Styela clava: one gene and its partners. The protein of the gene in region 2 purifies or fractionates together with the protein of the main gene of each other region. This does not show direct contact. Links are inferred from orthologs where the notes say so. Each region holds a gene or a part of one and is shown on either strand. Other genes may lie near its edges.

The links. The genes of interacting proteins can lie anywhere in the genome.
Region 1: the proteins of zinc finger-containing ubiquitin peptidase 1-like (region 2) and E3 ubiquitin-protein ligase UBR5-like purify together in Homo sapiens (affinity purification with mass spectrometry, with the first as the bait; 3 studies listed by BioGRID). This does not show direct contact. The link is inferred for Styela clava from reciprocal best matches to the Homo sapiens genes ZUP1 and UBR5.
Region 3: the proteins of zinc finger-containing ubiquitin peptidase 1-like (region 2) and replication protein A 14 kDa subunit-like purify together in Homo sapiens (affinity purification with western blotting; 3 studies listed by BioGRID, with this or other methods). This does not show direct contact. The link is inferred for Styela clava from reciprocal best matches to the Homo sapiens genes ZUP1 and RPA3.

Annotation. Positions count from the first base shown.
Region 1 is NC_135263.1:5,825,787-5,833,773, reverse strand, and holds the start of E3 ubiquitin-protein ligase UBR5-like, read right to left. Parts: upstream 3,030-7,987; 5' UTR 2,935-3,029; coding exon 2,867-2,934; intron 2,352-2,866; coding exon 2,259-2,351; intron 1,775-2,258; coding exon 1,611-1,774; intron 1,065-1,610; coding exon 796-1,064; intron 1-795. UniProt on the Homo sapiens protein: E3 ubiquitin-protein ligase involved in different protein quality control pathways in the cytoplasm and nucleus. Mainly acts as a ubiquitin chain elongator that extends pre-ubiquitinated substrates.
Region 2 is NC_135251.1:18,599,710-18,607,671, forward strand, and holds the start of zinc finger-containing ubiquitin peptidase 1-like, read left to right. Parts: upstream 1-4,958; 5' UTR 4,959-6,082; coding exon 6,083-6,311; intron 6,312-6,861; coding exon 6,862-7,080; intron 7,081-7,627; coding exon 7,628-7,817; intron 7,818-7,962. UniProt on the Homo sapiens protein: Deubiquitinase with endodeubiquitinase activity that specifically interacts with and cleaves 'Lys-63'-linked long polyubiquitin chains. Shows only weak activity against 'Lys-11' and 'Lys-48'-linked chains.
Region 3 is NC_135261.1:16,318,877-16,326,688, reverse strand, and holds replication protein A 14 kDa subunit-like, read right to left. Parts: upstream 3,030-7,812; 5' UTR 2,876-3,029; coding exon 2,771-2,875; intron 1,580-2,770; coding exon 1,505-1,579; intron 869-1,504; coding exon 763-868; intron 399-762; coding exon 325-398; 3' UTR 84-324; downstream 1-83. UniProt on the Homo sapiens protein: As part of the heterotrimeric replication protein A complex (RPA/RP-A), binds and stabilizes single-stranded DNA intermediates that form during DNA replication or upon DNA stress.

The sequences.
Region 1 (7,987 bases), on a different chromosome or scaffold from region 2:
AAATGTGTGTTAATAAACTGGTTAGCTTACGTAACTCATTTTACCTGCAAATGTTCCCACTTGTAACAAAATTTTTATGATAGTTTTTTATAAAAACATTTGCTTTGTGGTATTCCCCAAGTAAACCTGTGTTTTATAGAACATTGTTCGCAAAATCAGCAAAATTGAGAATTATATTTATGTTTTTTATTTCAATTTAAGAATTCTATTAATTTGGTAATCCAAATCAAGTATAGGCATCCAAACATTGATAGTAACTAATTCCATACTGATACAAAAATTGTTATGTACTGTCAAGAGTCAAATCAACTTTTCATATGGATTAAGGTGCACAACTCAGAACACTTGGCATTAAACCATTAGACTTAAGGGTACTGCTGTAGTGTGTGTACCAGGTTAGGGTTAGGCCATAATTTTGTTCCGATTTTCCGTATTTTAGTTCTATTACAAGTTCAGGGATTGTCTGTGTTATCCAAGTGAATATACCCCCTGCCCATAGGTTTCAGTCCCTTTACATAACTTGATGTAAAGTAGGCGAACAAAATTAGTAACCTCCATATTGGTAGTTTGGTACACACATACTTCTGGAGCAACGACTTAAGTGTGTTGACATCGCAGGTTACACACTTAAGTACAAATACAATGCTCAATAATGAATCAAGTGTACAATGCCTGATCAGACAAATAGACAAATTTCAGTCCTTCCAAAAAATGCTTGTTTTGAGCAAGATATCGAAAAGCACTGTACACAAAATTTTTAATCAAAATTCAACCTCACAATGAATTCACTCTTACCTGAGAAGTTCTTACAAGTCTCACTCCGCTTGCGCTTAGAGAAGACGCTGCATCTGAGCCGCTGTTTCTTGCTCGATGTCGAGCAGTTGTTGTGCTCGCTGATGTTACTGATGATGAATTGGTGGTGGCAGAAGAAGACGCGATCGAACGAATCACCCCAATATGTGTTCCCCATCTTCGTAGAGCAGATGAATGGCCACTGGATAAATCAGTGCCTGATATTATCCATGGTGTGCTACCTGTTCGAGGAAGTTTCGGTGGTCTCTCTCCTAAAATTGAATATACGAAGGACAAATTATTAAAGATGAAATATTAAGTTATTTAATTACAATGACACCAACACATTCTGTGTTGAATTCAAAACATAAGTCTAACAACCAGAACTGTGGAGTCGGAGAAAATTTACAATCGACTTCAACTTTTGGGTCAGGATTGAACAAAGCTTTAGCTCTAATAACGCAGAGTTGAGAAATATTATCAATCTGATTCAGATCCAGAATTCTGAAGAATTTCGACTTTGAAAATCAAATTAAAAAAAACAACATTCGCATATATGTGCTTTCTTTAATAGAAATTAATGCTTTTTAAGTTTTGTTTCACTTTATCACCATTGAAAGTCCGCAATACAAACAAATTAAGAATTTTGAATCAGACTCTATAAATGCTTGAAAGTTCAAAAGTTGAAAAGGTTTGATCAACTATTCTTCAGTTTGCTACACTTATATGAAAGTGAAAGTTATTCTTTCCATATGATTTATTATAGTATGTGAAATTATCAAAATATTATACCATAAACAGATAAACTGATATCTCACCTGTTTTACTTGTAGATGTTGATTTACTCGCACCAGATGTAGCTGTGGTAGTAGTTGCTTCAATTTCAGGTTCTTCTTGTGGATCGTGGGCAAAATATTTTACCCGACAGACTCTTCCATCCTCGAGAAGAAAAGCAATATGCTTCGATGAAACCACACATTGCCTGATAATAAAAATATATAAAACAAGATATCAGTGGCGGCTTGTACAGAGACTTGTTTAGAGTGTAAGAGACAAATGAGTGGCATATATATTATTGGGTATGCAGTTACTACCAACAATAACGATATTCACGACGTAACAAAGTAATTCAACTCTTGACGTTATTAATGCTTTTCGATTCACATTAATTATTGTTTTCCCACATGAATTTTAAATAGTCAAGTAGCAAAAATCGCTTCATTAAGAGTTATTTAGGATTATTAAGACTTGTGGAACGAAACAGCAAGTTCCTCATTGATGCAGACTGTGGATGAATCTATGACCCATATTCCTCTTTTTCATGATGAAAATACAGTGTTGAGCCATCCAGCAAAAGACGTTAGCTACGCCTGGCCGAAACTATCAAATTACTGGTTACTATCACAGATAAGTGAGTTGAATACATGAAACATATTAGACATAGATAATATTTGGTCAGGGCAAACCTTATCTCATATTGTTGAAGTTCTTGTAGGACTGGTGGTACATCCTCGATGGACGGTGCATAGAAACTTCTCTTTTCACTGAGAGCCTGTAACCTGGAAAACAAGTTTTCTATCGTTATTTACAAGTTAATGAAAAAATTACAGAACACACATTCAAGTATCATACAACATACTGATTCTAATTACCGACAAAACAACAATTTAATATAGAACACACTAATTTTGCACTATCTGATGAGCTATTTAAAACCGATTCAATTACACAGAGGTTGCGTGTGCTTAGAACATACTTGCCTTTGCACCATTAAGCAACATGGATTCAAATCCACTGGGGGAATAATTATGTGCAAGAGGCTTGCTGTATTCTTAGCACTTCATGTAACAACTGGGCAGTAACATCATCCTCGACCATCAAGTCCATGCATCTGAAGCAAAAAATTCTCAGCTACTCCCATACCCAACATAGGTAACCAAAGGGTGTGACATGATTAACATATGATTGAGCCGTCTTTACTCTTTACTATATTTCTATATGACAGGATAAATATGAAATACCATTCTAAGTAAAGGCTAAAACAACTTTATAAAATAGAGAAATTCCATATTACTTCTCTTGAAATTGTTCTTCATTAGCAGGTGACTTCTGAACAATAAAGTGGATGCTGGACTTCGACATGTGTGAGCAAATTACCACACCACTTGATCCTTTTGTACTTTGTAAAAATCGTAGGTCTATATACGTTTTTATGTATATCACTATACTGAAGCGTATGAGCTGTGACATAAAAATTTGTGATTGAAAATTATAGTAATTCAGAACATTTATTCAGTCAACTACTTCCATCTTCAAGAAATAAAAATTAGAATTCTACGAAAATGAGATGGAACCAGCGCTAGTGCCGATTAACCCACATTTTCATGAATGGAAGAACACATCACAAGAATAAAGTCTTAAACAGCATACATGAACAAAAGAATATAAAATTCGCGGGAATATTATTTGTAAACTAGAGCTGCGTGCAGCTTTTACAGACTTCCCGCGTAAAAAAAACTGAAGACGCGTTTTTCTCACTGGAGCGTGAAAGCGTGGTCAGTCATGCATAAAATTTGCAATTTATGATGGGGGACTTATTATATGCATGTGATGTAAATTTCAAGTCTCTCAGTAGTGTCGTTCTCGAGAAGAAGATGAAAATCCTATATTGCTCACTGGAGCGTATCGCCGAGGTTACTCATGCGTATCCTTGATATGTCGTATGCGGAACATGTCCATTAATCATTGTTATGAATTTCAACCCAATAGCATGTATCAATTTTGAGAAATCGCAAAAAAACTGAAAACGCGTTTTGTTCACTGGAGCGTGAAAGCGTGGTCAGTCATACATAAAATTTGCAATTTATGATGGGGGACTTATTATCTGCATGTGATGTAAATTTCAAGTCTCTAAGTAGTGTCGTTCTCGAGAAGAAGATGAAAATGTAAAATCCTATAGTGCTCACTGGAGCGTATCGCCGAGGTCACTCATGCGTATCCTTGACATATCGTATCCGGAACATGTCCATTAATCATGACAAGCAGCGGGAAGCCTAATAATGCAAATTGATCATAACTTGGAAGTCAATTAGTAGTCCTGTAATGGAACGACAACATGCATTCAAACCTCATTTTAGAATTTTTTGTGTAAATGCCACATACTGCAGTTCTGACATTACACACACAGCTGGTTTTTAGTTCACAGTTTTGTTTATAAAAAAACTTGCAGGCAACCTGACTACAAAGTGAAACGCCTGAGTAATGGCCTCCGTCAATATTCATGTTCAGCCTATGACTGTATGACTTCTTGCTTTCTTCTTCAGTCCGCCATGTCGGTGAGTGAACGCGCCTAATAGGGTTTAAACTTATTTTATTAGTGTTATTCACTTCCCAGCTTCTTTGCCTTCAATCTTTCCTGAACATATGTTTAATTTGTTTTTGCGAATGAATCGAAATAAAATCTATTTTGAAATGACGTAGTTCTGGCATAAAAATCTAAACGTTCCGGTTTTAATTTCATCATACTTTTTTAGACTTGCGCTGTCGAATGAGATATACTGATGCAAAATCGCTGGTCACCGGAGCATCAGTATTACTGATAACGATACGGTATATAGGTTAGGTGTAGACTACGAGAAAGAAAATGAAAGTTAAACCGGTAATCCCTGAAACCTCGTGTTAATGCATTCCTTTTAACGTTACGCCGTGCAGATGCAATAGGCAGAGATACCTCTGATCTCAGTCAAAGAAGAAAATTCCCACGCGTAAAAATAGATGTACCAAGTAGCAAGTACCAACTGACTTTTTTTTTATTTTATAAAAAATATTTTGATTAGATCATTGGTGGGACATAAAGTAAATCAAATATCAATTCTAATACATATTGAAAAAAAAAATATTTAATCGATTAACTTGAAATACAAACATAATCACGCCCTAATTAATTTTACTTATAATTACCTGTACTGTCATTGATTATTAGTATTTAAAATTATTTGGACGCTAATTTGGCTAGTTTTGGCTTCTATTTGGTCAGTGAAGCAGGTATAGCCCACTTCTTCATATATCCAACTTGGCAATACTAATGGGGCAATTTCGCATTAAGTGACTCCAATTATAATCAGCTTGACGAGGAATACTTTTCTATCCACAGTATATTATTCATGTTGGCTAATTCGGTATCCAATTTGGCAACCCTCATAAAATTATTAATTTGATGTGGTAAAAGAGTTTACTTACTTCTTTTTCATTTGTTTGTATATTTTTCTTTTTACTGAGTAATTTGATTGATTTTAATTCTCGCTTTTTTCACTTCCGACCTTATCATGTCTCGATGATTGTGTGCGTGTGTGTGCGTGCGTGCCTTAATTACTTTTTTTACTTTTGGGTGAGCGAACACGTACTATTTCTTTTATCAATACCTTTCCATCTAAAATTGGCACGCTTCAAAACTTACTTGAGATTTCCCGATTCTATAATCAGTTACTTTTATTTTTCGTTTTTATCTATTGTAAAGTTGAAACGTGAATTCCAATCCACTCAACGTTGTTGTAGTGGAGTCCTATTTGCATCCGCCCCCACCTTGAAGAATTATGCGCAATCTCCCAGCTTCTAGTAACTGCACAACCAAAGTAAAGAGGCAACGAGATCCTTAGAAAACGAACTGTATTCATCACTCTCCACATACAGACATGTGAGTAAAAAGTTAAAGATATGTATGACAATCACATGGTATTTAAAATTAAAAAAAAATAATAGCGGCTGTGGAGTATGAAAAGTTCAAGACAAAGAAAAGAACAAAAATTCATAGCTCATGAACTCTCAATTTTGCCTCCATTACTTTGTGAAGGCCAATATATTTCGAGTGGCTGAATTAGTTTACCTTTATGATAGCAACGATTTTGTATTTAATATAGCAAGATTTTTTTCAATTTAATTGAATTGATATTATTTCCCAAAGCAATGCTTGAATCGTCTAGAATGGATCAGTGGTGTCAAACTCATGGGTTTTCGAGAGCCGCATTGCATTTTGGAAATTGTAAAAAGGGCCGCAAACAGTTTTTGATAATGTATACTTGAAAGATATTTTTAAGATAGTTTTAGTTTGTGACATATGTTGTGATGCAACTAAACAGTTGGATTAAGTTTCATTATTTTCTTTAATTTCAAATGCAATTACATATTAATATTTGCATTCCACTATTATTGCAAGTTACTGTATTTATTACAAAAAATCATAAAATTCTATGTACATCCATCAAAATCATTTTGAACAAACTTTGGATAAGGAAAGAATAATACATACTTTAAAAATTACTTAATTTAAATATATGGACCTAAAATTAACAAAAATACTACAGTATAAACTCAATGATTTTTTAATTACATTTGTCCTGACGTTTGGTATCTTTTTTTGTGTCACCAGCATACTGAGGCCAGGCTGAAATGATTTTATAGTACCAACTCTAACTAACGAGGTCACATGATCATGGGCTAATTTGGATCTTTGCGAAAATTAATTCCAGTAATGCAAAAAAGTTATTTTTATAATTTCATGTAGAGATCAGTAAAAAAACACATGACAGATTTTTTCGACAAGACATTTCGCACCACATTGCGTGGCATTGGATTGCTTGAATTATTATTGATATTGATTTTAGTAACTAAGTCGTTGTATAATTATATTAATATACAAACACATGAAAATTTTCTGTTCAATGTGCTTCAGAATTTTGTGAAATGCAGAAATATTGCAACTCTCATTTTCTTTGAAAATGCCACCTTCTTCATGTACTTTGCGTTTAATTTAATCACTCAAGTGTTTTATTCAAGTATTCTTTTGCTAGCTTGATGTGTATTCTTAATTGGGTCAAAATGTGAACAAAAAAAATTAATTTTCCAAAACTACTTTCAGTAAATTGTTTTCTGTGTGAATAATCAATTTCACTTTAAAAGGTTTGAAAAATCTATTATGCATACTCACGCTTTAGAATTTTTTGTTATGTTCCTTAAGCCCTGCAGGATGTGGGGGGCATACACAACTCTATCGGAGGGTCAAATGTCTTTGCATGCCTTTATAGGTTGTTCTTGTATTGCAAACATTTATGGAGTACTCTAAATATACTTCTTGCAATCACACGGTCACTGATATGTCACCAGACTTCTGATATCTCCTTTTCTGCTATAGTTGTCCTGTGGATAAATAATAGGAAATTGAGATTAGACGATTTGTTGAAACTTTTGCTTTATGTCGGCTTTATTTCTTGATTGATATACTTACTATTTTTGCTATTGCCTCTTGTGCTGCAGGAGTCTCACAATGCTTAGACAGGTTTGTCCACATTCACATCTGAAGAAAAGAAAGAGAGGAGATTTATTAATTTTCGTCAAGAATAAATGAAGCAGTCTATATGATTTAGAATGGAAAAGCTAATAAATCCAATATCTCATGTTTAATGTAAAAAATGTTTTACTGAATTTGGTATATAAACCAACTAATACAGGAAATTAGTCAGAAAATTACAAGCATTCGTGGCTCCATATACTTGAGAGATCAGACTATACAATACAGACCGGTATGAGTGAAATGTTAGGTGAAATTGTTAACCCTTTGATTCAATCCTCACTGATTAAAAAAAATCTAAATGGAGGTGCATGAACTATTTGAAACCATACGGGGTAAGTAAATATGCAATTTCGGCAAATGGGCAACTACGTACCGTACTGAATTAATAACTTCGTAGTATTTGACAAAAGCTGGCTTTCCCTTATGTACTTAACAGTGCGATGCCCGGGTGTGATATACAACAATAGTATTTACCTTACCTTTTTCCGATTTCCTTTTACCTCAACTTTCCAAAATATCATTAAAATCGACAACAACTGTCAAAGCCGGCACGAACACCATTCGTGCTATGCCTTGAAAGCAGCACACATCCGCTCGTTTTCGTCTCGTCAAGTATGTGCATTGGAGCGTGCTATCGGATACGATCTTCGGCCAAAAATGCCGTAGTTGCGCATCATGTTGCTTAATGTCATTGATTGCACGTGCAAAAAAAGATAGGATTTACATATTCATCTCGGGGAAAGGAAGACCGATAAATTGACTTAATCATATGACGAACTGCGGCCTCTCGCCCTGTTAGAATGGGATAGGATTTACATATTCATCCCGGGGGAGAGGAAAGCCGACAAG
Region 2 (7,962 bases):
ACGAAAAATGAAGATTACGAAACAGGCTATGTGGGAATTTCATACCTCGTATATATAATCTGAGGTTTTACTGCCTAAGCTGATTGAAACCTCCTTTATGATAATATTTTCACGCTACCGAGAGATTGGAAATACATTTTTGTCGACGCTTGTTAACGCATTTCTAAAGAGTGCTCCCTCAAAGGGTTAAAATTGACATTCCAGGACGATTGTAAGAAAATTTCATAGACCAGTAAGTATCGTAAACTCATACACCTAAATAATGCAGATGGATATATGAATCTATTAGCCTTTTTAACGGTAAACCTATTTGTCTCTAAATTCACATTACGAGAAAAATAAATGCTGTGAACACGACTCTTTAACAAGATCCCGTTGTCATTGTATAATCATTAAATTTCTTTATGACGCGAAATCCAATAACTTTTGTTTGGCGTAGTTAAGTGAATGTGTTACGCGGTTTTGATCGAATAATGGGGAAAATAAATTATTTCGGACCGTCGCTCAATGAAGAGCGTAGTTATGATGTCTTCATTGTTAAAATGCTTTCGTTATCTCTTCAGACATTGGTGCTTTGGGTTACCGCCTAACCCGAAATTATTTGCCTAGCGCAAGCTCTTTTGTGGTGCTTCTTTGTTGGCATATTTTGCCATTTCCTCTTCCGCGTGCTCAGTATGAACCGTCATATTAAATGAAATATTATACTTCGATATCCCATTTCATGCTTGGGCCATATTATGTTCTGTATAATGTCTGTCAAGTTATTATTGTAAATGTTTGTCTATGCATAACTGTCACCGCTGTATCAAATAGTATGTTAGCTCTGTACAGTATGATAATGCTCTGTTTTAATATTTGTTAACATATATGCGCATGAATGTCTGTCTTTTTACTTCGAATAAAGTGTAGAAAATAAGTTCCCAAAGTGAAATCTATTAATGATCGTCTGATAAAACACCAGATCAAGTCGTTTTACATTATGAATTCTGCAAATTTGCGCACATTGATCAGTGTTATTGTACCAGATTCAACGTAAAGTATCTCACAACAATGCATATTCGTATGTGGAACGAAGAGTCGATTCTAACATTCTGTGCCCTGTACCTCCATATTTACTCGTAGATTTCAGTCTGTCAACTCCAAACTATCTGTTCTTCACTGTTGGTATGTCTTGATAATAATGCCGGAAATTGCAATAATAATGCAATAAAATTTACCATGTTTTAGTTCGTTTTTCTAGCTGTTTTATCAATCATTATAGACATCATTTTATGGAATAATTCGTTGCAAACTGAGAATTTCATTTTGTATAAAACCACGAAGGGTATTTATTTTATGTTTAATGACTTTATCATCATCACGAAATCATTATTTTTATTAACCGTTACACAAACGGACATAGTGTTTTGCGAAATTGACCTTATGAAAATTCTAGATTATCAAACTATTTCGATATGGACACCTTGAACTAGCACGTGGGTTTTATATCTACCTGAACTAAAGTTTATTGATTTTAACGAAATTGTAAAACAGTTCTATGCTTCAAATCATATTTTCATTATATGTCGCATGATGCTACTATTCTACATTTCCCTATATGACTCATTTGTATCTATATTCATATATATATATATCCACCAGTTTTGAATACATCTCGTATTACTGTGCATTTATGGGAACTATTCTGAACATTTGTCGTTAAAATGACACACATTGCAAATAGCAACTCGAACGTAAATATATAACAAATAATGAAAATTGGTATAAAACAGTGTTTGTTCAACGTTTTGTTGGGTTTAGGTCAGTCCGTGTACAAAACCAATAAAGGGCATGTTCATATGTTTACGCTTTATTTTATTTTAACGATCGAATTCAGGTTACAGCACCAATCATTAACTGAGATGGATAAAAACAAGAGAGCAATGCTCCTAGACATAGACACCACTGTCAAATAACTACATCAAAGAGCTTAACTTTTATTGGAAAATTACTCAATTTTCAACAACGTACTCACACCCCTAATCGCTTCGCAAAAAAAAAATGTTGTGCCTCTCGTCAAGTGGTTATATGGATCTTTTTTTTTATCATTCCATCATCTTGTTGTTCTTGTTTCATATATCCGAATATCGGGGCAATCTTAGGACCTCTAAAGTGGGAGGTTTTTTTATCGCGAACTGTGTACTGCGGTACCTGATCTGGTAACACGAAATGACTCGGATCAGCGCCTATTTCAATTCACGTTGAAACTGAATCATGGAGAATGGATCATCGTCACAGGATCTGGAAAAGCTATGACAGTCCCTGTACCGTTACCCTGATACAGTTACCGCATATGATTTTTGGGGAATTGGTGATAAAATATTTAGTTCTACATTCAGTGTTCACGTATTTGAGCATAGCTCCCTTGTTATCAAATCGAAGATTATACAATTTTTTTTAATGCAAATACACACTCTGCCTTTGTTATGTATCAGTTGCTATAGATATGAAACTATTAAAGAAGCTGCTACACCAACCAGAGGATCTGAACTTACCGAGGATTTGATCTTTACAGATTGTTGTACGTCAACTACAGTTGATGATGGAATTGGTCCCCTCTCTCTCTCTCCAATGTCTGAAAGTTTTACAGATGGAAACATGTTTTTAACTCAAGCTTTAAAACTTAACTCACATGAATTCAGAAACAAATGGAAGTCTTCCGACCATAGCGTCACAAGTCAGGAATTTGTGCCAGTTCCATTGACATTGACAACCATTATAAATTTGATGGATTAGGATATTTTAGCAGCCTGCCAAATAGTCTTAAAACATTAAAAATAAATATGAGGGATTTATTGCATCATTTATGCTTCTATGAACAGATATAGATGACGCAGACTGAACTAGTCATATATATCGTTGCAAACGATTAATTCACTAATATATATCACATATATTTTGAATATAGAAACACTGGGGTTTCATAGATGTGATATGCTGTAGTTCAATACTTTATACTTATATAAACAAACAGTTATTTTTTATTATGTTCTGTGTTTACTACATTTCATGCAATGTTTTCAAAAAACTTCACTTACAACTTGGAAATCTAAGTTAATTGTCGAGAATATTAAAAATCAACAAATATGAATAAGTGTTCTATTTTAATTATATCTTCATACATTCCAGATTTTATGTGATTATTTAGTTTTCCAATGCCAAATTTTGAGTAAAGTAATTCCGTAAAGTCCATTGCTATTACAAGTGAGGAATGGACAATTATTCATACATGCAGACACACAATTTTTTTTAAAAGATATTCTTGCTGTCATTGTTTACTTTGGTATTAAGACTCGAACCTCTTTCTTCTTTTTGATATTTTCCCAAGTTGTGATGATATATATTATTATAAGATAATTAATTAAAGTATATTCAATCAATTTTTATTGTACTAAAATAAATTTTACTCCATGAGATTTTATAGAAGACTTAGAGATTTTTCTAACGGTTTTATTTTTAAAATAATCTGAGTATAATAATATTTATCAAAATTCAAAACTAGATATATATAACCGGGCAGTTTACCACACATTTTCATGTCCGCGGATTGCCGTGGTATTTTAGAGTAATCATACTTCCATTTTGTCGACGCAATCGCAGGTTAAATTGAAGGCAATGTCCCTGTCGGTTATGGATTGATTACTTTGCACAACAGAAAAATCATAATTATCCGTCGAAAAAGTCGTTCCGCGGGGATTTCGAGGCGATGAATATGTATTTTTGATATACTGATATACTTTATATGTATTTAATTGTACTCTATGGGATTTTCTCACAGATCTTGAGATTTTTTTAACGGCGATAAAGAATTCGCAAAAATAAGTATCAAAACTAAATACAATAATAATCCGCGTAATCGCGGAGAATGTTTCAAAAGGGAATGGGAATTTCCGTTTTTTTTAATCCTTCCAGGACAATTAAAGTAAGGCAATATCAGATTGAATTGGTCATTATCAACTTAAGTGTTTTAAAAGTATAACAGCCCGAAAGTTCAATACATTTGTGTATTTTTCTTACCCAAGCCTGGTTTTATAGGGAGAAAGAGATGAGATGGATTTTGGGGATATTGACTATCACCCTATATATTTAAGTTCGATTCCCGCGTTATTGTTTTGACACGCGTTATGGAATATGACTCCAATCTGGACTCCTTCAGACGATAATAAGCGCACAGTGTTGATGCTAATCGTTGTTGTATATTATAGGAAGATGCACAATCCAAATTCCGAAACAGATAAAATTGAGACACACTTAACTCTTAACACAGTAAATCAGGAGTGAATCAAAACACATCACACTTAACGCAATAAAACAGAAGTGAATCAGAACACATCACACGTAACGCAATAAAACAGAAGTGAATCCAAACACATCACACCTAACGCAGTAAAACAGAAGTGGATCAAAACACATCACACCTAACGAAGTAAAAACAGAAGTGGATCAAAACACATCACACCTAACGCAGTAAAAACAGAAGTGAATCCAAACACAATATTATGCAGCCCTCTCGGCAAGCCGGGACGATACGTCATCAAATTGGTCGATACGAGAAAGGCAGTACATGTAATCAGTACTCAGTGTTGCTACAATAAATGACCTATTGTGGGAAACGGAACACACTATTAAAATGAAAGGGTTAAATACATTATAATTCATAGTTACACAATGCACATTCGCTACAGTTTAATTAACCAGGTTTGTGTTTATAAAGGTTTTGCCCATTTTGCAGAATTCTCCATTTTTTGATTATGGAATTTTCAAATCAAACTCTTTTATTTATTCAACGTTGTCGGTAATCACCAAGGCCGAGCACATAGTAAACTAAACAGGCAATGGACACTACGCAACAGAAAGTAAGCAGGAATTAAGAAATGGCGATTTTTCTCGTAAACATACAAACAAGATTAAGGACGGGAATTTAGCAAAACAGTGTGTGTGTGTGTCGGCAGCATAAATGTATGGTAATTTATGGGTAACTATTCAAAACTTTTCGATTACCGAACAAAAGCAGGTTAGGGACACGCTTGCCACCGCACTGATTACCCCGCGTGGTTCGCATGTTCGAATATCGTGTGGGACAATGCTGACTCTCTGTGGTGAAAGAACCGCTGGATTCCTCGCCGTCACATAAACGCTTGTCGGTTACAGCATTCTCCACCATCGGTTCCATGCATCTGAAAAAAATATAGTCTGCTATCTAACTAATCCCATTCACGACGTGGAATGGTAACCGGATGAGAGATTTTGACGTTAATATTGTCAACTCGTGACTCCATACACTCCTTCGTACCAGAAAATGATGGGGAATCACCTGTATTTGTCAAAGACGCTTCCTCAATAAGCCAATGAACGAAATAGTGTCAGAAGTTCTCAGAACAAACCATTAATTCAAAATATTCGTTTGATGTTGCATATATACTGTCATTATGGCATCATTTTGTACAAATTCCACCAATTAACTGTATTTTTAATTCACTATATTATGATATGATATACTGTGTAGACAGACGTATTTATCATGCTGTAGCTTTCAAATTGTCCTAAAGGCTAATTTTGCATTTCGAGCAAGATTGATTCTATAGTCATAGTGTACTTTCAGCGATTCCTTTGGGACTTTTCCATCAGTGCTTTAGATCTGTATTGCTGTTGGTGAACTTTGAAAATTTGCCATTTCCTGATTTCTGTATTTACATATTTAAGTGTGTAATTTCTGTTGCACATTCTATTTTACATTGCTAATTGAACACTCATACATGGAATTGAAATACAATGTTGCGTAGGGTTTCTTATTCTGGTACTGTTTTCGAAATTGAAAAATAATATTGTTAAGAATCTGAACATCATGTTTTTAATGATGTGCTGTATGCAGTGCATATACAAATGTGTTTTTTAATTGACAAGTAAGCCTACATTCGGCAATGGTGAATAATTCTTTGTGTTTATGATTCAGTGATTACTTGATTAGTTTACTGATTAGTAATATACTGAATATAAGTTCTGTCCCACCAAATGTTTACTCAATACTCTTCTGTTCAAAATCATGGATGAAAGTTGGTGTGATTCATGTTTAATATGTGGCCAGAGATATTTTTCTGAAGATGAAATGACAAAGCACATTGAATTGGATCATGCAACTTGCAATAGGGAAAATGATATTGACAAATCAAAATGTCCATTTTGTACATACGTGGTTTCCAATAAAGATGAAAACAAGATGGAAACCCATGTAATGGATGTTCACAAGGAGGAAATGCGTACACCAAAGAAAGGTATCCACTTTAATTTATTAAAGCAAAATCTGAAGGTGCGAAAGGTCTGATCATTAGTTTGATTTATTTATTAACATACTCTTTGAATATCAAATGTAAATTCTGGTTAAGTTACCTAAACAGAGTATGAAGTTTCTCAAACTGGGTCCTAAGCCTCCCCTAGTGATCCATGAATTGGTTTTCTGGAGGACATGACTAAAGGTACTATTAGCAGTGACTACATTTATTCACAGTAAATTGACAGAGATTTGCCTAAATTGTTGATTGTAATAGGATTTTTCTTACTTTAGTTGGCCTTTCATTATTGAATGTGTTGCATAAACTAACTAACAGAAACGCATAAGAAGCAAAAATATGTCTTTTTTGAAAAGATCAGGGGGCCACAAGTGTTAAAGATACATTGAATGGCGGCCACAGATCATAAAAGCTCGAAAAACACTGGCGTAATCATTCATAGGCCTATCAATAATTACTGAAAGCCCCTTAGTCAGGATATTAGATAATTAAAGCTTAAATATAGTATAGTGTTACAAAATCCTATCTGTTGCAGATGAGTGTGGAGCATCATCAGGGAGTGAGGTTAATGGAGAATGTAGTAACAATGTTGATTCATCTCAATCAGAAGTATTAAGTTGTCCTGTTTGTCAATTAACTGGATTTGACAATGTTGACAAACTAACTTTTCATACAGAGTCTCATTTTATTGACAATGAACAGGGACATATGTCAGTAAAATCTGATTACACACAAGATGAGCTGTTGGCTATAAGTATGATTTGTATATTAAGTTACTATATTGCAAAGAATTCAATGTATCAAAGTTATCTCGCCTATTTGAAAAGTTGTTTATGTAGTAACTAATAAGTAAATTTTTAAGATGCGTCTACAGATAAAATTCTCTGCTATAATTTATTTCTGGCTCACAAAGTTTCTTATATGTATCTTCACTTCTTATTACTGCTTGGTTTGCTAGTCTGGGTCCTGGCCAACCTAGGTTCAGATGCAATGATTGCGGTATTAGATGTTAAATTTATGAAGTATGTTTTTTCCTAATCTAATGGATTCCTATGTTCATGTCTTTTCTTCTCTGGTGTGAAGCATCTCATAAAAATTATTTAGTCCCGAATCACACAAACTTTAACAAAAACTCATTTAAATAAGATCAATAGTATAGCGACTGTCATCACTCTTGCTCAAATGGGCTTACTCCAAATGAGTTTACTCCGATCTACATTTTTGTTTTGTGCTATCAAAATAAACCTCATTGTAACACCACTTCTACACTTTGATACTCTAATAATATATCTCCATTCTAGAGTTACAAGAGCAAGAAAGATTCGAACTACAAGCCAGTCGAGACGTTGCGGAAAACTTATATTTTGAAGAATTAAGGAGTAAATATGGAATGGGCAAAGAACACCAAAGGACTGGTTTCCGGAATCAAGCGTTTAAAAATATGGATAAACAAGTTGGAAGAGCATCATCATCATGTTTTGATTATTACAGGTAGATATGGTCATGAGAATCATGAGTGTATATGTTTACTGTTTGATCAAAACTATAAACTCCTGTCAAATATAATTTTGCTTTAAAAGTAAATGATTTAGCTCGCTCAAAATCGTATGATGAGGTTAAATACCAATATTCAGGA
Region 3 (7,812 bases), on a different chromosome or scaffold from region 2:
GCCGAATCTTCATACACGCTAAGTTATCTATGATTAAAACGACTTACGCAAATCTGTTATTAACGTGACTACATGAAACAAAGTTTCAGGCATGACATGTTTCTTTTAATCCTTAAATCAGAAAGAACTTCATATACAAAAAAAACACATGCAACGAATGCTAAAATAAAAAAAATAGGATAGAAAATGACCCTATAACTGAAAGAAATAATGAAGAAAATGCGATCAATTTCAACATTAAGTGGATACAATTGCAGCCGGTTGTAAATAACATCGAATGGAGACGTCCTTTGACACTGACGAAATGTTAATAAACATAGGCTTTCATGATGCTTTCTGCCCATAGTACTGTGGGAAATCATGAATTAGTTTCACACAAGTGTTGTAGAGTTCCATGTCTGTAAGAAAACAGTTGATTGAAGCTATAGGATTATGCTATAAAAAAACAGAAAATGATATTTTTGATTCAGAAGTTCGCCCACCCATTTTTTAAATTAGTGTTCGAAACGTTTCAAAAAATATTTTCACATAGCACCCCAATCTGGATATCAAGATTTTCTTGGGGCCAAGTTCTTGTGTGGGTAACAATCTGGAACAATTACAACAATGTAATAAATTGGACAAATTGGTTTTGGACAAATCGCATACTATTTTTATATGTTTATGCTCGTCAAGATTTTATTTTGGCAAAAATAATTATTTCAAATTTTAGGCTCCGAAACAACATTAGAACATGTTGGTACTCTCTGAATATCAACTTACTAAATTTTCCTTCAGAGTCAAACACGCGATACATCACCCCATGTACGTTACACTTGCTGTCAACTTTTCCAGTGACTTCAACGACACCTTCAATAATATCAGCCAGCTGTATAATAGTAAGAGAATATCGATAATGACTTGTCAGTTAGTTTTGCCAAAATTTTGGAATTGAAAATGCAATTTTAAAAACATAGAATAGATACATTTGTGAAACTGAATTTCAAGTAATTGTAAATAAAATAGATGAAACTAATCGTTGATTTTCGACAATTAGCGTTAATTAAATCTACAATTAGTTAGTAAAGAACTCTGTGTAAAATGCTCGATTAGTTTTATCTTTGGGACATATCTCAAGAAACAAGTAACATACATAATATTAACCAGATGTGCCAAAATTTTTAATTGTTGAGTTTGCTTAAAAAAAACAGCTTATAAACGGATATCATTGTTGGAGTAACTTCAAAAGAAGTCACTGAGCCTAAACACTTTAACTGATACACTATAAATACTTATGCTTTACCTTAATCAAAACATTATGTTTGCAAATATATCTAAATCTAATTTTAGTGATACAGCATTTTAGTGTCACAAATATTGAAAAAGGGGAATATTATTGTTTTGCTATTTTCATATGATCACAATATTATTTCCCTGACTTCTAGATGGGGGTGCATAAAGTAGTTCTCGATTTCAAAGTGTGTGAAAAGGAAAACCAGTGATATGATTGGTCAATACTTCTTACCGGTGAATCTAAGACAACTTGAATATTTTCTCCTGCACCATCTTTCAATACAAATGAATTTCCATCTGGGGATATCTGAAATAAATAAACCACATAAGAGTAAATGTATTCATATTTTACATCGTTTCGACCATTGAACTCGACAGTATTTATAATACAAACTATTTAGCCCAATAATTAAGAGTTAATTGCTAAATTGTATTATATCCAGAAATCAGAAAATTTTATAATAGTGGTTGTTCGTAACGGATGATACCCAATAGCAGAATAAGGAATTACACAAAAAAACAAAGGTTTCTGGGTTTTGATAATCTTGCTATGCCATTGGCAAAGAATAATTCAAAAATTGCGGAGCAGAAGTTTAGGACTTCAAACCATGCTATCTGGAGGTCTGCTATTTCAGCACGGTAATATACTAGATCAGACTGTTACAGTGTTAGGAACCAATGAAAATTACTAGTAGGCTATGTCAGAGTAACAACACCCTAATCAAAACCCAGAAACCAGTGAATACATGCAGCTATAAAATTAGGTTAAAATTGTGGAAATGTGTTTACATGCTGTGGTATTGATATTGTCTGATTTTAGTTTTTACAGTATTTGTTGAGTGCATCACTTTACAGATTTAAGCCTACTTCTGTATTTCATGAATTAGAGAAATAAATGAAAATCCAGAATTTCTTTACGGTAATTCTAGAGCAGTGTCTTTCAACCGGGGTGCCGCGGCACACCGGTGTGCCGTTAAATATTGTCAGGGGTGCCGTGGGAATTTCTCCAAGTTGTGTGTCTGTGCGGTGTAGCGTCCGGCAGAGTAATCGTGTGGTACTGTTCTATATCAGACCGTGGCAGCATCTGGTGGCGATTTTTTTTGTCTTTGTTTTTATTTGATTACTATTCAAGATGTCCAATTCAACATCTTTCTTCAATGTTAAAAATCTTATATTTACAATATAACACTTATATTGTGAATATTACGGGTAGGTATTTTCGCCATATTTTCAGCTGGTGGTGTGCCGCGGGATTTTCTCACCGAAAAAAGTGTGCCTTGGCTCGAAAAAGGTTGAAAAACACTGTTCTAGAGGATTCAGTCAACATTTCTACATCCATCCAGTGTGAAATTCTTAAATTATACAACTCAAAACATATCTTGGTATTTCAGTAGGCCTATTTGAAAAAAAAATACTGAATTACATTAATTATATCATCAGTACCGGTACCGGTATTGATATACAGAAATACACAAAGGTACTGTCAGACTGTAGTTACCTTTCCAGCATCGACAGTCCCAACTACAGTGACATATTTTTCTGTGTATTTTGGTAGCAATGATGCATTCAGACGTGGCCTAGGTCCGGCAAATGCTTCTTCCATATCTGATCGTGGACAGATAATTTATTCTTGTCTCACTCACTGCAGCACTGGTAAAAACTAAATATGGTAGCCTCTGTATGTACCGGTAAATCCTATGAATTTGTGAACAGCCCTTCTAGTTGTATCGAAGTTAAAATTAGAGCTAGTACAGTAGTACCGGTACCGTAAAAGCGCCTAACTTCGGACAAAATTACTATATTTTCGTCAATAACTTGGCCATTTATTGTCCAAAAGGTGCCAAAATTACTCGGTAAAACATTCGTGCGGTAATTTACATTCCTTGCAAATTTCGGTTCAATTGGACTATTTTTACTATTGAAATAATCGATATTTCTTGCCATCTGACCGTTATCCTTCACTGCCCTAACTTCGGACAGTCATTTTCTTCACTGCGTAACCGCGACGCACAGAGAGAAAGAGGCTTCCGATGCGGATGGCGTAATCACGTCGTTGCGTGAAGATAAGACGCTCGATCGTCGTCGTAACGTAACATTGATGTCACGACGAAAATGCATTATTTGAAACTTCCGTCGTCCTATGTTTACATCTTTCGTTCGTTATTTTCGATACTTCAGATGAGTATAATAACACGTTAGTCATTTTAATCAGGAAATGCATACGTAAATATATCTGATGCAAATCGTTTCAATCCGCAATGAAGTATTTTAACGGGCTTCTATCGAAGTCTTTGAAGTATTAATATTCTCGACGGATAGTTTTTTTTTATCGTGCGCGGTTATCTTTATAAATGATAATTTATATCAAACACACGGTAAATTCGATTGTAAAGTTTAATTTAAAATTCAACTTAATCTTGTAAACATGTAGGTCCCGTTTATTTGTTGGAGATAAATTTATTTTTAATTTCGAGTGAATAAAATTCAGCCAGGCAGTATTCAATAACTGTCATTTCGACTACTAATCATAAAATAATGGTTAAGTCAGTGCACTGTGCCATATGGACGTTGGAATTATCATAGTTTTGTATGTCCGATTTTAACGTCATCGATTAAGTGTGACATGTATTTTTATTAATGTAATTTTGGCATATATTCATACATGACCGAACAAAATACAAAAATATTACATTGGAACGCCGTCTTTATCTTAACGGAAATTGTCATATTGGCTCCGTTGTGTCTGGCGTCAAAATTCATTTCCGTGACGCAGTGTGACGTCGTGTCGGAAGTGAGCGAAAAATAATCTACGTGAGGTTGACGTAATTTTTGACGCTGCGTGAAATCTTAATATTCTTACGGAATTTATAATTCAGAATTTTAGGTTTTATTTGAATTTCGTACGACATCCTGCGATCACTTAAATAAATTATATACATTGTTGTCGCCCTCTACCGAATGATGGTATTTTGACGATGATAGCTTCAGTAGGAGCGACGCTATGCGCCGTTGAATGCCGGGCAGGCAATTTTCGGCAAAATTTCCGTTTTTTTACCAAAAAAATAATTATGCAACATTAAAAAAGATGAGAATAGATGTAGATATAACAGCGCAACCTATAATAATTAAAATTAGCAATATACGGCGCGTTTTAGCCAAGATATGGCCGTTCAAAAATTTTGTCAGAAGTACGGTACAGTCAAAGTGACTACAACAGACGTCAGACAACAGACAGTGCAGCGTGATGAACCATTGCTGTGTTTACAAGATTTCCCGCTAAAGCACAAGAGGTGCCGGATTCGAAAGTTTACCGGATTATTACCGGTAAGTTGGGTCAGGATTTACATATTTATCCAGGGTGAGAATGAATCCTCCATTGGTCGGCTCAATCATATGGCGAACCACGGCTGGGTTACCAGTCCATGTCGGGTATGAGATTAGTTAGCCAGTTATTAGTTTTCAGATGTATGGACTTGGTGGTAGGGGAAGCCGTAACCGACCAGCGATTACGTGAACCACCCTACGGCTAGGAGTCCAGCAACCCTCTCGCACATAATTATTTGCTTATGGTAAGATCACACCTACTCACTTTTAAATAATGAAGACTGATATCTGAGGGAAGTTATAGGTCAGGGATGGCGAACCTTTTTCAATGAATGGGTCAAAAATTATATTTTTATCGCGGAACAGAAGAGAGTGGGTCACAGATATTTGATCAATGATTGTATATATAAGAAACTTCTGAAACAAATCTTATAAGCTTCTGCTTCTGTTGGTGTTGGCGTAGTTTTGGGCTTTACTTATGCAGCACTTCTATCAGGGACTTTTCATGGCACTCGATTTTATGAACTTAAAGTACGAAAACACGCATATGAATTACCAAAAATGTTTAGGATAATGCGGCAAATTATTTTACGGTTCCAAAAAATTTGGAGGAAATTCCACTCTGATAGTGTTATATTTTTCGATCAGCTTTCAACCACATTAAGTCACTTTTACACTGCCCCATTGTTGTTTCAGATTTTTAGGTTTTTATTTCAAGTCTGAAAGATTTTGTTCTCTTAACGGCATCGTATGCAAGAAATTAATAAGATACAAAGTAGCATCTAGTTCTCGCATAACTCCTAAAACAGTCTGTAGATGCACTTCCTAAAGCAGCGTTTCCCAATCTTTTTTGGTCGCGGACTATTTTCTCACCGGCGAAAACTTTTGCGGACTCAACGTGCGTTTATTGCAGACGTACTCTGTGTGAAGAAGTACCAAACATAACAGAATTTTAACGAATTTCAAAATCGGAAATTCGCTGCAATACGCGTTTGTTAAAAGAGTCGACTTTTTAGCGTATAAATGGCCTTTTCTGTCGCACAATATTCAATCCATGACAACAACGAGAATTTAAAACGTCTTTCTATTTTAATTTAATTGTGTTCGTAGTCACTCGCGGTTGCGTCGACCTATGACAAAATGAAAGCATTTCTTCTTCAAAATGCCACGGCAAGGTAGCACCCGAATTTGCTATGTCTTAAAACGCGTTTTTAATCGGCCGCGGGTCATCATAAAACAGAACCTAAGATGTACTCCGTTCTTCTATTTTTAGTATTTTGTATTGCGCTTTTGAATTTAGGTCGCCACCATTGACAACTACGAAGAAAAAAATTATTTCTCGTTGTTCGAGCTCGCGAGAAACACCACTTAGGTATCTATCCACGAGTGTGCCGACTCGTGTTTTCGTCGGATATCCGCAAGTGAGTTGTGAAATCCAATCGTTGATTAAGCGACGCGCAAGTGACCTGTTGCGTCACCTGTTACCAAATTTTCGAATAGTAAATTGCTATTCTAATAGTTGAATATTCGAATATATGCCCAGCCCTACTCAGTAACCAGTAATTATTGACTCGATTAATGTTATGTGAATAAACTTGATTTTTATGTTTTATGTAAATTCTAACGTAACTTGACTGATGGTTAAATTTCACAAAAATGTTGCGGCCCTTAGTGAATTTCTGACTCGTTGCGGACTCATTCAAACGCTTCGCGGACTCATTTGAGACCGCGGACTCGGGTTGGGAAACACTGTGACCTAAAGAGACAAGACGTAGCGACGAATGAACCTGTCGGCTGCATTGTTATGTCATAAACGATGTCAGAGTCAATAGCTGAATAACGGTACACAGCGGTGCAGACATGCGTCCAAGATTAAGGGTTTTGAAAATTATCATACCGACCCGAATAATCACCAATTTGAATATGAGCGATCGCGGCCCTGACTGCGCAACTGACGGTACATTATAAAATTGATTGTTAGATTAATTTAAGGCCGGTTTTATCAATTTTTATCACTGATATGTTAGCATTTATTTTATTTTATTCGTGCCTTGGCGGGTCACGAATGAAACGCGGTGGGTCACTTTGTGACCCGCGGGTCAGTGGTTCGCCATCCCTGTTATAGGTGAACACTCAAGTAACAAGATACGGAGCCGAAAAGACTCATAGCGTAAAAAAAATACGCGTTATTACTATTAGGGATATTCATAACCTTTGACCTGTTGCAATTTCCGCATTCGCCGGTGCAAAAAGGGGTGACGTTTGCGATTTTTTGCTCTGGACGTTAACCCGCCAAGGCTGACTTGCAATGTTTCTTGTGTATAAAACGCAATGTAATGGTGTTTTGTTTCTAAATTCATAAAAATATTGTTTTCAGATGCGTTATGGTAGTATATTTTGTAAAAATAACGTACACATGTACGATGTATCGTAGGCCTACATATGTGAATACATAAAAGGGATCAATACCTTAAATAATATAGATACAGTTAGCTCATAAAGTACTGTATGCTACAAGAAGAGTAGCTATTCTTTTTTAAAGCTATTAGGTAAGATTCGTTGAGTTTTCAATAAGTAATAACACTACCAGACTACCGGTATGCCTAGATAAAAACTGTGATCCCAAACAATTACAGAGTAAGTATCTGAATTCTGAGTATATAACTTTTTGTTTCAGTTGTTCACAATTTGAACACTTACAGCTGAAGAAGACCTTCATGCTTGAGTTCTTACAACCTAATCACCAAAGTTGCTGTACATTGATTGAAATACAAAGCCTACTACTGAAGAATATCTTGAAAAATTTGCTTCTGCCGCGTACATCATGGGGCAGTAGAGGGGTTTTATTCAGACTACTGTATGGTATACCAAGTTCACAATTACAGACTTTTGAACTAGCATTTACCTGCCGTGTTACTACTGGAATTGTTTGAGCACGAAGTATGTGAAAACAAAGAAGCTCTTACAAGATGCTAAAAATGAGAGTACGGTAACCAATCCAGTAAAATCTCTAGCAAACAAAAGGCTATTTTTTGTTCCTACATTTTCTGTGAGATCTGATATTTCATTTAAAATGCGCTGTGTAATTTTTAGTTATTGTAACACGTTTTTATGGCATTACGATGGTTGTCTTTCCCCGTTTTTTGGCATCGTAACGGCTGGTACTGGTAGTCTTCTGTCACAGATTGCATACCTGTAATACGGCGTTTTAGATTC